Lonchura striata: one gene and its partner. The protein of the gene in region 2 interacts with the protein of the main gene of each other region in a biochemical or structural test. Links are inferred from orthologs where the notes say so. Each region holds a gene or a part of one and is shown on either strand. Other genes may lie near its edges.

Region 1 (7,979 bases), on a different chromosome or scaffold from region 2:
GGCATGAGCTTCTTTTTGTGACTCTGGCAATCTTTCACCTTCTCTTCATTTCTGTTCACTATATACAAGGATGTGGCCTGAAGACTGACCAGCAGGAAGTGAGTGTCCATATGGGAGCCTGACACCTTCTCATTAATCATGTGTTCCCCTCTGGATTCTGATTTTAATTGCTTGTTCCCGCTGGTCAGCCAAAATGCTGAGGAGGACCACAGACCGTTCTCTGTCTGCTTCAGCTTGCTCCCCTGCTTCATGTAGTGCATGGGGATGTACTATGCATTCCTGCAAAGGAGTGATTGATGATGTTACCTCTTTCACAAAACTAGGTCGCCTGATCACCACAACTGGCACCTGTGTGGAGAGTGTTGCTGTACTTTGCATGAAATTCAGGAAGCAAGAGGAAGGCAAAAGAGATTGATACCCCTGGGTCTTGTCCCACTTTGTAGTTAAGTGATAACTGTGGTGTGCTTTTTGACCCAGAAAGGAGGAAATACCACTTGTATGCATGCCTGCAGCCATGGCCAAGTGACAGAGTGTCACTCTTATGAGCTGTGCCAGAAAGGCAGAACCAAACATTATGAGATGAAAAATCGAGGTGGGGGAGGGAAACCTTGGGAAGGAAACATCTGCCAAGAGCTCTTTTTTTCCAGCCAAATCAGCTTGCAAGTGCCAAGCAACTCCCCCCTAACATTTGAACCATTCTTGAGAAAGCCATGTTTGCTATTGAGTGTGACACCGTCTCTTTGTATCAACCCAGAATTAACTTATTTATTAAATCATGTGGAAACAGATCCTTAAGTGCAGGCTGGCATCAGATAATGCAAATGAATAGCAATACTTTTTAAGGGAAAGAGTTACTGTAGCTGACTTTTTTTTTAAGGTCTAGGTGAGACAAGTTTTGTAGGTAGGAATCTTGTTTAACCAAATAGTTGGAAAAGGTAATGTGTGAACGCTGGGTTTTTTCCAACAGTACCAGCTGGGTCTATTAGAAGATACTATCTCTACTTACAAAACTGGCCTTAGTATTGCTGAAACAGATCAAAGGAAATACTTCTAAACAAAGTTTGCACATAATCCAAATTTACCTTTTAAAGTCTATCATTATAGTATATAATTAAGGAAAAAAACGGATGTGATCAGGGTCTACAGTAATATTAGAAAGAATTTAGCATTTATGAATTTTTCATAATTGCTAATAATTATTTTTTTTTTTTTTCAAATAAAGCCTAATACTTCAGGCTATATACCAGCTACTGTCTGAAGTCAGAGGGAGATTGCCACTCTTGAGGAGGTTATTCCACAAAATTATCTGCCTTTGAAATATTTGAGGATTACTAACATGGCAGTCAGGATATTGGACTGCATGCAGTGACCTGCTGTGGCAATACCCATGGGTCCCTAACTGGGCAGTTGTCTTTACTAAGAGTATCGAAGAAACCAGGTGTTGCTCCTAACCAGACTCCTGTTCATGTGCAAAAAGAAATTCATTTCAACTCAGTGAAGTTTTGAATTCAAATCAAGTCACAAATCAGGAGTTGACCCTGAAGTGCTCTTCCTAACACCTACATTAATAATGTATGCTAAACCTTATATTAATAATGTATGGGGGGAGGTCTTAGCCCTAAGCTAGAATTAAAATTAGTACGAGCACTAAAATACAAGTCTAGTTTCACTGTGCTGGTAATCCAATCGTATGGTTCAGCTAGAGAATTTCTTACCATGGTGCTGCTCCCACTGGCTTAGGCTTTATCTGCTTGTTGCAGTGAAGGCCAACCAGGATGGATAAGCTGGATAAAACACTTGATAACAGAAACCATTTTCTCATGGTGGAAAAAAGCCCTGCTTACTCATAGAATGCTTTGCTATTGTATACATGTGTATGATACATTAATTGAACCCTTTTGGACCCCAGTCCAGCATCTTTAGGAATAAGTTAATATGGCAGAACTTATAAATATACTTTGGCTTAGTCCAGTAGATGTGAACTCTCCTAGCTGGATCTTTCACAGAAGCTTTTACACTGAAAACCTGACATATATGTTAAGGCTTCTGATACCAGATCAGCTGAATCACCAGCAACCGATTTTCATTATTAAACAGTAGTTTCTCCTTGTCAGAATCACAAAAAAGCAAAATATCTTCAATGGAATCCTAGCAGCTACCAGTGCTGAGTGCATCAGATGGAAGAAAAAACAAAGCACTTGCCAATTTTAAATCAGAGGACAAGAATCCACTTGCCTAGTACATATGTAAGTGTTTAGACAGGTCTTTGTCAGGCTACCCTACCAACAGTGAGCGCTCAGTGGCTGGGATAGATGTCTGTTATTTTCAGAACAGAAGTACAAACTGTCTACCCCTGTTTTCTGAGGGCAAAACCTCTATATATGTGTAGGGTTGAAAGGGGTACAGGAAAGTACAAAACGCATAATTTGTAAAGATGTTGAACTGATTTGGTCTCCCAAACCAATCCCTAAGGAACACCACTTGTCACTGCTCTCCACTTGGACATGAAGCCATTGACCACAATTCCTTGAATTAACCATCCATCCAATTCCTTGTCCACCAATTGGCGCCTCTGTCAAATTCGTATCTGTCCAGTTTAGACACAAAGTTTCATGAAGGACAGTGGACAATTCTTTGCGTAAGTCCAGGTAAATTATGTCAGGCATTCTTCCCTCTCACCAAAGCTGTAACCCCATCATAGAAAGCCACCAGATTTGCCAGGTGCCATTTGCCCTTAGTGAAGTCATGCTGACTGTCACCAGTCACCACCTTATTTTCTATGTGCCTTCTTATAGTTTCTAGGGGAATTTGCTCCAAGATCTTGACAGACAGCAAAACTGACTACACTGCTCTGTAGTTCCTTAGGTTTTTTTTTTTTTCCCTAAAGATGGTAAAGGATTGGGGTATCTGGTAAGGGAGTGAAATGGCTGGGGCTGTTTAGCCTGTAGAAGAGAAGGCTTGGGGGGAGCCTTATCAATGTGTATAAATATCTGATGGGGGAGCCCAACTCATTTCAGTGACAGAACCACCTGCAATGTGCACAAACTGTAAAAGAGGAAGTTCACTCTGAATATCAAGAAACATTTTTATACTGTGAGGTTGTTTAAGTGCTGAATAGATTGCCAGGAAAAGTTGTGGACTCTCCATCTCTGTTGGTATTTAAAACTGTACTGGATGTGCCCCGGGGCAGCCTGTGCTAGCTGATCATGTTTTGAGTATAGCACTGGACTAGGCAATCTTCAGAGGTGCCTTGATACCTCATTCATGCTTAGGGTCTGTGTACCAGTGTGGGCAGTGGAAAAAAAAGGGGCAACCTACCAGCCAAGAAAGCTTGTTGTCAGCATGGTATTTTCCTGTTTGCATCAATTTCTTTAAAGCCTATGGAATCCTATGCTTCTTTTTCTCATTTTTGCATCCTTGCAAATATGTACCTCCCTAATTTTCATATAATTTCAGCTCCTTCCTCTGCACTGCAAAACACACAAACTTGTGTTGAGCACCACAGTACAATGGTACTGACTCATTCAGTGTGTCTAAGGCAGTCTTGTGAGAGATCATACAGTCATATCATGAACAATGCTGGCCTCTGTGCCCCATTGCCTCTGCAGTTGCCTTCAGGATGTTTTATGTGTCTTCTTTTAGCTATGGTATGTCTGTCTAGTTCTGATTAATCTACTTTTTTTTTTTTTATTTCCCTAATGCAGAAGGCAGATATCAATAAAAAAATCTAAATATAGTCTCTGAGATGTTTCTGAGAACACTTTACCAATACTGAGTTTATTTGTTTAGGGATTCTTTTTATCCAGGTTCTGAACAATTGCAGAATCATTGCTCAGCCCTTGGCAAGTAAAAATAACAACTGAATGAATAAAAAATACCATTTTATATATAAAATACAACAGCCAAGCAAATAATAAAAATCCCCCAGTCTGTCCTGGGGAATCATAGAGGGGAAGCTCAAGCTTAATCCTTAGAACTGGGACTGATTTGTGCTTGGTGACTGTGATGCACAGCTGTGCAAGGCAGGGAGATCTGTCTGCCCCTCTGCAATGTCCTGTTCTGGTACAAATCAGTGGGGCTTGCTGGCCCCAGCAAGTTCTCCTACACCTGGAGCAGTTCCACCTCTTACACACCAACAACCTGGAGCCGATGAGGAGGCAGCTCCTGAAGCACTATGCTCCAAGGAAGGTGGCAAGCAGGGACAGGCTAAGGGCAGAGGGATGCTGCCTCTACAGGTTTGCATTTCAGCCTGGAGGCCTTTGTTTTCATCCCCTAGACAAGTAATCTGTGTAACAGCTTCAGAACAGCTGTGGCTTGCTTTGAACCTTCCTGCAAACAGTGCTAGTTCCCTGTTCCCCCTGGTATAAGCACAGCCCCATGCCACAGGCCCACTCCCTGCCTTGGTGGCAGCCCCCAGGATCTTGGAGGTGACCGCAGCAGGTCCTCTCTCACCAGCAGAGCAGAGGCTCACCAAGCATGGGAAACCTCCGTCGGCCCACCACGACAGATGTGGTGGGGTATTCCCATGGTGTTGCACGAACTTAATTTGGATTTTTTTTTTTGAGCTCTTCAGCTTGGCAAAACACTTGCTCTTCCCCTCATCAGGACTTGTAGAAATTATGCTAACTGCCAGTGTGTGAAAGCAGAAATTGTAACTGCTTCAAAAATAAGAGTTGAAGTGAGACAGCACAAATTTACAGGAGAAAATATGTCTTAGTAAGCATGAGCAAAGGACTTGAGACTGAGCAGCTGAAGTGGAGGCAGCTGCTCAGCTTGGTGGAGGCATCCTGTGACAGAAGGAAGATGCTCCCCGACCCCCAGAGAGGCCCCTCTTCTCCACGTCCCACAGCCGTTTCCTTGTGGCTCAGGTCTCGAGCCCTCTCATTTGAAGAAGTGGTTTCACTCTGGGCAGTGACATGCACCCTTAAGGCAACCACCTGCAGGCTCAGTTTCACTTGTGGGGCCAGGGCACTGCAGGGCGCCACCAGCAATGACAGCGAGTTGGCCCCACAGCTGCTCCACTAGAGCTCCATTTCATCTCGCAGGTGAGGTCTTCTCATCACACTCCTCAGGCCCTTTCATCTCCATTCCCCACTCTCACTGCACCCCTTCACATCTTTCCTTTCTCCTTTGATTTCTTCTTCTCTTGAATCTTTTATTTTCTGTCTCACCTTTCTTCTCTCTTCTGGAGATGCTCTTCTTTCTCCCATCACCCTAATCTCTCCCAGCCCAGCCCAGCTTTTTCTCTTACTGCATCTGACACATTTTATTCTCAAGGCAAAAAGTATTTAAATTACTGATTTTTTTTTTGTTCTCTTTCTTCTGATGTAAATGTATTTCCTGCTGTTAGTGCTAGCTTGACCTGAGCACTTTAAATAATATACCTGCAATTTCCCACATAAATAATCTATGAATCAGATACCTTAGTAGAGTGAAATATAATGATGTATCATTATCTTTTCAGGTTTTGTTGTTTTTGTTTAATGATCTAAATTGAAGAAAACATGATATTAATATATAGAAAGTACTCTTTGCTTACTGTTAGAGTGAAGTGTTTTGGAATTTAAAGCTTGATATCCTCTACTGAAAATCAGCCCAGCAATTAGCTGTTAAGAAAAAAGGAAATAGCATTTGCTTCCATCTCAAATGCCTGAAACTGTTTTTCTCTAAAATTAATGGCTTGTTCCTATCTAAAATGATCTTGCTGATTCAAAATCCAGGACTGGGTGCATGTTTTTCTCCTGATATAGTTCTAGTACATACCTGAGAAAGTTTTTTAACAACCTGTGGTCCATTTTCAGCTCCATATACAGAGATAATAATACTTACTTCAAAGAGAAATTGTTAGATATTATTCAGTTATGGTTGAAAGTCTACATGAGCTATTTGAAGAGAAGGTGGAGTAAAAATGAAAATTAATACTTTATGATCTTGTGCTTTGCATGATTGCTGATACTACTAAGCAAACCCTGTCAAGGAGGGATTTCTGTGTTTTCTTCTTTGACTGAGTTTTGCTATTTTGCAGGCTGCCTAACAAAACAAATAAAAATTACTAGCATCTGAAATGTAATGGTGCCCAAAGACCTGTCAGTGTGGGTAAGAGACATTTGTGCAGAGAGGCAAAAAGGTGTGAGAGCCCCAAGATATGATTATTCTCTAGGAGGACTGCTGTTCTTTCTGCTGAGATATTATTTAGTCAAGGCAAGGTGCACAGGGAGGCAGTGTTTCTTCTCATAAGGCTGGCTATTATAGGAGAAAAAGTGCTTTTGGACATACAAAGCAGTTAGGATCTGAAGCATCAGAGACAGACTTAACAGCAAAAATCCTGAGAACTGCTAGTTCCATATATGTCTCTAACAGATCACTCTTAAAAACAATTTTGATGTAAATAATGTGAAGCATTCAATAAATTATATACAATCTCTTAAAAATACCCGTGTCCCCTTTGAGAATCTGTTTTCTGATTGAGATAATATTGAGTAATAAATTGTGCAGACAACAGATGGTATCCATATGATGAACCAGTGTCATCAGAAATGGCAGCACTTAACCAGCAAAGGAAAGCTAAAGAATAATAACACCTGGAGGAAAATCTCCACAGTATCTTTAGACTTAAGGCAGCAGGTCAGTCTTAAAATTACAGGCTCAGAACTGCAAAAGTTTCAAGAAAGAACAAGCATCTTGCCTGTGTTATTTGTGAATAAATGCTCCCCAGCAGCAAGAAATTTAATCCCAAGAACTTCAGAAAACAATATACACAATACTATATATGTAAATACACCTATATACATTAAAAACACTATTCCAGTTTCTCATCTTACATTCTTCTGGTCATCCCAAACAAGAGTTTGTGGCTAAAGGGAATGTTATCTAGCATACAATTAGCCTTGCATTAGTGGATGGGGCAGGGATGGGGCCTGGGAACAGATGCAGTAGTAGTTTCGTGTTTTACAAATTGAAGAATTTTGTAAAAAGAAACATTCAGTGACCTTTCTCATCAGAGAAAGTTTTCCACTGACAACCACTCCTGCATCCTTTTTTTTAGTTGCACCCCTTTCTTACTGAGAGATGTTCATAAAACCCAGTTTCAGGGCACCTGAGAGAAATGAAGATATGAGAAGCTGCCTAAGATCTCCCTGTGGCTGGCAAATGAGAGGAAACATATATGAGCAAGGACTGCAAACTCAGATTCCAACAAGGTCCAGATTAGATTATGGTGTGTCTGACTGCACAAAAATTATAGAGTAGTACTGTTGAAAATTCCCTCACAGAACATATAAGTGTCCATTAAATTCCTATGACAGAGATCGTGGAAAATATGAGGTGGGCCAGCATGTTTCTTTTAGAGGAGAACCCAGAAATGTGTGGGACCCAGCCACCTGCAGGATCTGTTAAACTCACAGAAAATTGGATTTCTCTCCAACAAAACAGCTGACAAACATTCCAGAGCAAGTTAAGGCACTGAGCCCTGCCACTGGCAGGAAGGTGAAATCAATGAGCACCCCAGGGGGAACCAAGTTTGATCTTGTCTCTTTCCCAAAACATGCAAAAACTTGGGTGCAAGCTGGTTTTGAGTATTGGATAAGGCCAGTACATTGTCTGTTCACTCAGGGAAACTGTTGTGCCCAGCAGACCACATATTCATGGTCATCCATCACCATATATTTCATGGATCAGAAGATAAGGTATCACTTCTGAAGATTCCCGAAGGTGAAAGGACTGTGCAGGAAAATAGTTGTTTTCCGATGAAGTAAATGCAACTTAAAACTCTGGGTGTTTTGTGTCTTTTGAGGTTTGGGGCCATTTGCTTTTCCCTTTCTTCAGAAAATTCCTCTGGTTATCCATATTTCAATGTACTGAGAAGCTGGAAGATGCCCAGAGTGCAGCCCAACTTCCAGGGCTGCCCCACATCTCTGCCCAGTGTTGGGTGGATGCTGCTGTTGTGGCTGCTCAGCAGAGGAAGGTTTGTCAGCAAAGCA
Region 2 (7,973 bases):
TGATGTTGCTAGTGTAAAATCCACTTACCTCCGACTCTCAAGAGACAAGTTTCATCAAATGGAAGTGGCTTTTTGATATCCTGACATAGCAATTATCCATAGAGGCAATCACCAGTGGACCATTTAGAGATGGAGCTGCTGATGCTGTGCAGAGAACAGGACACCATCAAAAAAGAGGCCCCTTTTTCCAGCCTGGCAGTTTGTCATGCAAGAGACAGGGAAATACTGCCTATTGGCCCAGAACACACTGAGGCCAGGTGCATCCTCTTGCTACCCAGAGTGATAAATTTGCCTTATCAAGAGTATTCAGTTGGTCCAGGGGTTGCTAATGGGCTTACTTTTTAGGATGGGAAGAGTGGGCACATATCTCTCTCTGTGTATAGTGTTTCTGGAACATTCTATGTTTTATATGAGAGGAGAGGGTAGGTTTCAGTTTGTTTGCTGGTTAAAATTAGTTCCTGCCTGTTAAGAGACTGTTCTGTCTTTATATCAATGAGAAGTTTTTTCTGTGCTGCTTGTTCTGATGATAAAGGCTGATATGGGGAGAGATACAGACTTAGTCTTTTCTAAATGGCTGATGCACTAATGAAGAGTCTGTTTTGCAAAGCAGTCTGTCTTTTATGATACCTGTGTCCTCATAAAACATAGTCAGGAAGAGCTGGTGCAATTGTTGGATTATAGTATTTTTCAAGAAAAGCATTCCTTTCCTAACAAAAACTCTGTTAAATAAAGAATGCTTTACTGCAGGAGTGTTGAGGCACTTGAACTGGTTGCCCAGAGAACTTGTAAATGCCCCTGGCAGTCTTCAAGGCCAGACTGGATGGGGTTCTGAGAAACTTGGTCAGGGGGAACGTATTTCTTCCTGTAACAGGGGGTTTGGAAGTAAGTGATCTTTCAGGTTCCTTCTAACCTGAACAATGCTATGCTTCTATATTTCTAATTATTAGATAGATTTTAAGAAAGATTTTTACTGTTGTCAGCCTGGCTATGTGAGCTAGTATCACATCTTCCTTTCAAAAAACAGAAATGCTTGACCTTTTTTCCCATACCTCTGTGGGTGTCAATTCTTTGTGAGTGTAATTTCCATTAAGAGATGGTGCTTACAGTGTGTCTGTGGCAGAACATTTACCTGGCCTGTGCTCCTAGCAGAAGCTTTTCAAAAAATAAGAAAACATGGCATGGTTTTTATAGACTCTAGAATGTAGCACTGGGAAGGCTTGCCCAGTTTTATAGAAGCTTGCCTATTCTAGGAGTATGACAGGCAAGTTGTTTTTGTTCCTACAGTAATTTCTGTGCTTTCTATATAAAGAAGAATACTGCAGACTGTTTCAGATGGCAAAATAACCTTGGTCTGAAAGAGGAACCTGCCTCATTTTACCACTCTGACTCATGGAGCCAGTCCATTGAGGCATCTGTTCAGCAAAGGTTTTAGCAATTACAAAGATGGACCAATAAATTTCAGATAAGGAATGAAGTGTAATGGGGTCCAAGTGTTCTTGCTTAACAGTAAGTGAAGGCTAATATTCATGGCTGAGAAACTGAGACAATTTATATATCCATAGCCTCTAGACTTGGAACTGAGTAGAGACAGACCTGAACAAAGAAGAGGAGTTAATCCCTGCATAATAACTTTGGAAATGCCAGCCTGCCACAATTACTGATTTTTAAAAAGTCTAATGAAGACACTTGTTGGAATGTAAAATAAACCTATCTTGTGGAACCGCAGTGATGTTTATCTGAAACTTTGAATGAAATGTGGCATTTTGTCTTAGTCCTGTAAGGCTATAAAACTTTGAGGCTGTTGTAATAATGTTGAATTTCTCCTGGATTTTTTTTTTTTAATGGATGAAGCTTTTCATTCACTTTCCATTTGGTTATAGCAACTTGCTTCTATAATTCATGATCTTTAGTTCTGAGATGTCTTGCCAGCAAATTTGATAGAAATGTCAGAAGGAAGGAAAAACAAAGTTATGGCTTGTGGATCCATCCACAATTGGATGCTGGTCCTTCTGGAAGCCAGCCTTTCTCAGATCTTATGGTAAAGAAAATTTACAGTATCATCAGCTCTCTGCCCAAGGCACTCTTTTGTGTGTGTTTGGAAATTGGACAGATATTCCAGGTTTTGACTTCCTGGAAAAAGATGAATGTTTTGAATCAATGTTTTTGGTGTAGCACTCTGATAGATCTTTTTCTGGCTACTTCTTTCTGAATTGTGAAAAATAATAGACCATGGTGAACCTTGAAAGAAGATTTTGGGACTGGGAGAAAATTTAGTGATAGTTAGATGTGTTTTGTTTTACTGTGCCATCACTGTCTTGTCCATAACAGTTTTGTTATTGCTGTCTCTGTGAAAACTCTTTTGTAAAAATGAAAATGTATTCCACTTGGCAACATGCTACACTGTCATATTTAATGTCACTGTAACTTGGACCCTGAAAATATGCAGGCCATTGGCTAAGCTGTTCAATCTCTTTTTAGTGGTTTCAGTGATTTCTTGCAAGAAAGATTATAATTTTTTTGTTTTGCTCTTCATGTATTTTCACTGACTTTGTACGCTCATTTCACAGCTCTCTCCATGCAATCATAGTGTGATCTATGGCATGCAAAGGAGTTTTACTTTTTACTGTAATTCTGGGAAGTAAATACATGTTTGAAACAAAACCATAAAGGAACAATGCATATATGTATATATACGTGTGTGTGTGTGTGTGTATGTATATACATTTATGTATGTCTCAGTAGCTCCTGAAGGGAGATAGTTGGGGCTCTCTGAGTAAGACTTTTGTAACTGCATCCCAACACAGGCTTTTTTTTTTTCCTTTTTCTTTTTTATTCCCCCCTCCACCAGCATTTGGAAGATACAATTATACCTGCAATTGTACAATTATACCTGTACTATTCTGCAGTCACTACAGTGGCACAGCTGATCTTAGTGAAGATATGTCTGTGCCCAAAGAAGTTTGCTCACATCTTATCACAGCAGGAAAATGGGAGATTAGACAGGGATCTGCCTGCAGTATCTGAAATGCTTTCCTGCAGATTTACCTCATCCCAGTGGTTCCATTATTTATACGGTGGTTTAATAGGGACAAATCACAGTTGAGTATTTTGTCCCCATAGAAATGATGCCACCCATTTTATGTCTGAAATTCTTGATTTGATGAGAGACATGTTTGGCGAGAGGCAGTGTTTGTATTTGTGACAGTGTAAGAGTGGAAATAGATATAAGGGAATTTAAAAGGAGAAAAAATTGTTTGGGGTTTTTTGGTTGGTTTTTTTCTATTTTTAATATGTGTGAAAATCATAGGATTTTTTACTTCCAGGGAAAGAATTACTGCAATCCATAAACACCTATTTTTTTTTTTTTTAATTCTTTCACAGTAGCATGCTGAGCTTTATAAAAGACCAAAGCAGAAAAACTTCATTAGAGGAAAACTATGGCATATGAAAAGATTACCAAAGACATGAGAATCCCAAAAGAAAGGTGTATAAGAGAAACAATAGATTCCTAGCATCAGTGAAGAATGTTTTTTTTAGTGATGAATGCTCCTTCATGAGCTCAGGTCAGAAGCTTTTATAGAAAAGCCCTAAAGAGAACATGAATGCTCTGGTACTTTTTCTAAGCATCTGTTTGCCTTGTAATAGGGCAGTAATTGTGTTGACAGGTCAAGTAGTTTTTCCTCAGGAAATATTTCAGCAGCTAGAGTGCCTGGAGTAGTCTGATGATATCAGAATGTCAGATGCAATTTTGAGTAAATGAGGGCATTTCTGGGATGTTTCAATAGAGAAAAAAAAAATATCTATCTGTCCGCAGTATTGATTAAGATGACTCCAGAAAGTAAATCTATAGGAAAATATTTTATAAAATCCAATTTTTTGAAGCTCCTGAGGCTTTTAGGTGTGTTTGTGATATTCCTTTTTAGTTCATTTTATGAATGACTCCTTAATATAGTTGGTAGTAGATGAAATACCAATGCCACCTGTTTAGTAGGCACATGCTTGTTCTGATATGGCCAAAATGCTGAGGATTTACATGAATGAGGGCAAAAACTCTTTCGTCTTAAGCTGAGAAAGAGGCTAGCTAGGCCACTAACTTTCATAATAATGATAAAACATTAACCTGTTAATTAACAAACTGGACAATCCTAAAGCTCAGTGATCATATTTTTAGATCCAGGTTTTGAATTTCCCATCAGACAAGTGTTCTGGTCCAAAGCTACCATGTTCCCTATTTTTCCCAGACAGATTTTAATTGAGCTATGTTTCTGTAAAAGAATACATTGCAGTATTTAAAAACCTTAGCAGAAACACCGTTGTCACCCTAAAAGCATCACAATATAAAATAAAAAGCAAAAATATCTGAAAGAAAGAAAATGCTTCTGAAACCGAACTGTTAAAGTAAAATATGGAACTTGACACCATAGAGGTTCTAAGGAAAGAGCCCAGTGTTGAAGAAATAATAAAAATTTGACAACATGTACTTGCTAGCATTATTGTCAGAATGAATTGACAATATGAACATATAACAATATGAAACTTGCTAAAAACTAGCACATGCTTTCTGTATCTGTCAGCACTGGGAAGGAGCATCTGTGGAATAACAGCAAAGTCTTTGAAGATGAAAAAGGCATTTTTAGAGTCTGAAGTACAAGTCAAAAAGCAGAGCAGTATAGCTTAGATTGTTAGTAAAATGTTGCAGAGCTCAGAGATGAGTGTTTGGTTGTATGAGGAAAACTTTTCATGGAGAAGCTGGAGAAAACACATGGAGAAGGAGGCCCAAGCATGAGTGATGGAAATGTTGCTGCAGGCTGTAAGCTGATTGGAGCACAGCAGGTGCAGACTGAGACACAGTGCCCTGAGCATCAGTACTCAGCAAGGGCACTTCCCTGAGGAATGCCAGAACTCAAGGAAATATAAGTGTCACTTTTTCCTTCTAGACACATCCCCTTCAGTGTGATGAGTGGGACTTTGTTTGAAGATATCTACAAAAGTTGCAAAATCACCAGTATTACCAGTTGAACTACACCGGATTTCAAATGTTTCTCAGTAGGTCAGTAAATTCACTCTAGTGCCCTGATCAAACTCTAATTTGTTTGAATTACTTTATAAAATTATATTCTGTTGTATTTCCCTGCCTTGACTTCCTTTTAGACACTTGCTGTTTTCTTCCTTTGTTTCTGCGTAATTTGCTCATAAAAACTCCTTTCCTAAGGTGTAGATAGAAATTAAATTTTCATGTTTATACAAAAAGGTAAAGGAGGCATGTAGAGGTAATCTGATGATCAAATTAAGACCATCGTTCAGCTATCTACACACACTGGAACGTGATTTTAAGGATGCAAAAATAAGAATAGAACAGTAATTCAAATCCATTTTCTTTGTTAAACTTCTTCAGATTTAGTTTTTTAAAAGTGAGGTAGTTGCAATGGATTTATAATACTTCAGTGCCAATTATTTCAAAGTGTGCATTAGTTTGGAGTATACCTTTAAGGTTCTCCTGAAACCATGAAACTATAAAAATATTTAATATAGTATATCAAGTCACCATCAAAAGTGTATTTATGATTCTATGCATACTGAATTTCTTCTAGTTTTCAGATGAGTTACATAAGTTGAAAATATGGTGAAGAATCTTAAAAAACTTGTGCTGCTTTTCTCAGAGGCACACATCTTGATTCCAAGAATCCTAATTAAATAGGATCTTCAGAAAACTGTACATTCATATTATTCTTTTTTTATTAATGTTTTCCAGGGTATAATTAGAGAACTGTTGAAGTTCTTAAACTTCAAGTGGTACTTAAAATATCACCCAGTTCTAGAACAAATTGTTTCAATAAGCATATTTTCATCATTTGACACTGTCTAGTGTGCCTTATATGTATGTATGCATGCAAGACATTTACTTTAAACCTTACTTCTTTATTTTCATACCCTGCTCACAGAATACTACTTTGGAAAACAAGAAAAGGTGAAAAAATAGCTGCCTAAATAAGGAGCATTTTTTTGGCACACTATTTCACCACTACATGGCTTTTGATCTTTGTCACATTTCAGTCATCTTATCCATGAAGGAATAAACTAATCAATCAGAAATTCCTAAGTCTCTCACCATTATACTGTTTGGTCTTTTTAGAAAAATTCATATTCCTATTTATATTTTTTTTAATGTTAGAAGGGAGATAGTACCTTAGTAATATTATAATATTTGCTAAGCAAACTTTTCAATATAGTAATTATTCTCCCTTTGTTCTTGTCTAAATATTAGATTAAATAGAATTAAGCTAAGTTTTGCAGTGTGGTTAGCAGAGATTTTTTTTCTAACACCTTCCAGGTGAGTTTTCCTTCATTTTGCTCATCTGTTCTGAGAGAATGTTTTGCTTCCTAGTATGCATGAAATGTGTGAGGTACTAAACTCTTGTGCTATGGCAGAAGTACCCTGCAGAGCTGATGAGGAAGCTGCCTGAGAGGAAGTGAGTACTTAATTTTCTTATGTGTTTGTGTAATATTTTTCTTTCACGTAGGATACGCCTGATATTTGCATGCATTTGTAGCTTCCTTAAAAGTCATATTTAGCGACCAAGGGGAGAGTTGCACTTAAGACCCTCTGTGGCTGTTATGCTCAAGTGCCTCTCTTGGGTAGCCAGCCACACTTCCTTCAGCACTCAGGAGGGTGAAGCCTTACATTCAACCTTAGGGGTCAAATCTCCATTTCACAGCTTCATGTTTGTAACTGCACTGGCTTGAAAACACTGCACTCTTTGTGCACCTGGAAAAACTTAGAGGAGGAGAAAACTCTGAATTCAAGCATTTTCTTCTATTCCTTTACTGATCCCAGAAGGGTATTGCACTCCCAAAACAAAGGCAAGATTTTGAAATTCCAAATGAAGAGAATAGCCATCCCAAATTCAGACATTCTTCCAAAATTGTTAAGTAGTTTTTAATCATTATCTAAAGTTTTTTTGTGATTATTTGCCTCTATGCATGCCCAGGAGATGCTGCATCACTCCAAATATTTCCTACCATTGCTAAACACTAAATATTCTTCACATATTGGAAAGTGGGGTAGAAAACCTGGCCTGAAATAGACCAACGGTAACATATTTTGTGAAAGTAAATCAGGCCATTGTTTTCTGAAACAGATATAAATAAATAATTTGTAAAATATTAGAGATCATCAGAATCCTGCTGCTGTTCTTTTCATAACTGAGAAATATTCTTCTTGTTTTGGAAACCTGTTATACACCAGACCTCCTCATTCTGAAGATTTAACAAACAGTCCCTCACCAGTGCCATCACTGACATTTCATCTAAATTGAAACCAGTGGATTTCCCCCTGCCCTTCTGCCTTTTAAGAACTTTTTGTTCCTGAAGAGTTTGTAGAAAACATTGAGATTAATAAGAGACAAAAAATACTCTGGAGAATAGCCTGATTTGAAACACATTATAGTCAAAGTGAATTTAAATTTCAGTAGTCCTAAAGTTTTTTTGTAGACAGGGATGATGTGTTCACCCCCTCTAACCTTGTCTCCCACCCCACTTTTATTAGCTGTTATTTTCATTCTGAAGTTTTTTATCTTTTTTAAGTCTGAAACTAGAAGCATGGCAAAAATTAACTTTAATGAATTACATTAATTAAAATAAATTTCTACAGATGAAGATTGTGGTGATATTTTTCTGCTTGATACATGTTCAGTATGTATTACTGAGGTGTTTTGAGCAGGCAGTGCAGTACCATTCTTGGCATGAGGCACAATATGGGATTATTTCTTCCTTTTCTGCAAGTTGTACATTGCTGGTGAAGAGCCAGTGTTGATCATTCATGCATCCAAATTCTTTCCTTACTAAAAACCTAATAGTAAATCTGTTTTCTTCCATCTTTCCTGAAAGTGGTATTGAAGACTTAGAGCCTGCCTTCCAGCACAATTTTGCTAGAAGTTGGGTGATGTATATTCATCTCCTAACCAACCAGAATG

Evidence for each region. The genes of interacting proteins can lie anywhere in the genome.
Region 1: of the proteins of SYK (region 2) and FLT3, one has a biochemical effect on the other in vitro, tested with the Homo sapiens proteins (2 studies listed by IntAct, with this or other methods). The link is inferred for Lonchura striata from reciprocal best matches to the Homo sapiens genes SYK and FLT3.

The regions. Positions count from the first base shown.
Region 1 is NC_134604.1:68,999,651-69,007,629, forward strand, and holds the start of FLT3 (receptor-type tyrosine-protein kinase FLT3), read left to right. Parts: upstream 1-4,915; 5' UTR 4,916-4,990; coding exon 4,991-5,045; intron 5,046-7,979. UniProt on the Homo sapiens protein: Tyrosine-protein kinase that acts as a cell-surface receptor for the cytokine FLT3LG and regulates differentiation, proliferation and survival of hematopoietic progenitor cells and of dendritic cells.
Region 2 is NC_134642.1:7,797,365-7,805,337, reverse strand, and holds the start of SYK (tyrosine-protein kinase SYK), read left to right. Parts: upstream 1-4,942; 5' UTR 4,943-5,050; intron 5,051-6,385; 5' UTR 6,386-6,447; coding exon 6,448-6,470; intron 6,471-7,973. UniProt on the Homo sapiens protein: Non-receptor tyrosine kinase which mediates signal transduction downstream of a variety of transmembrane receptors including classical immunoreceptors like the B-cell receptor (BCR).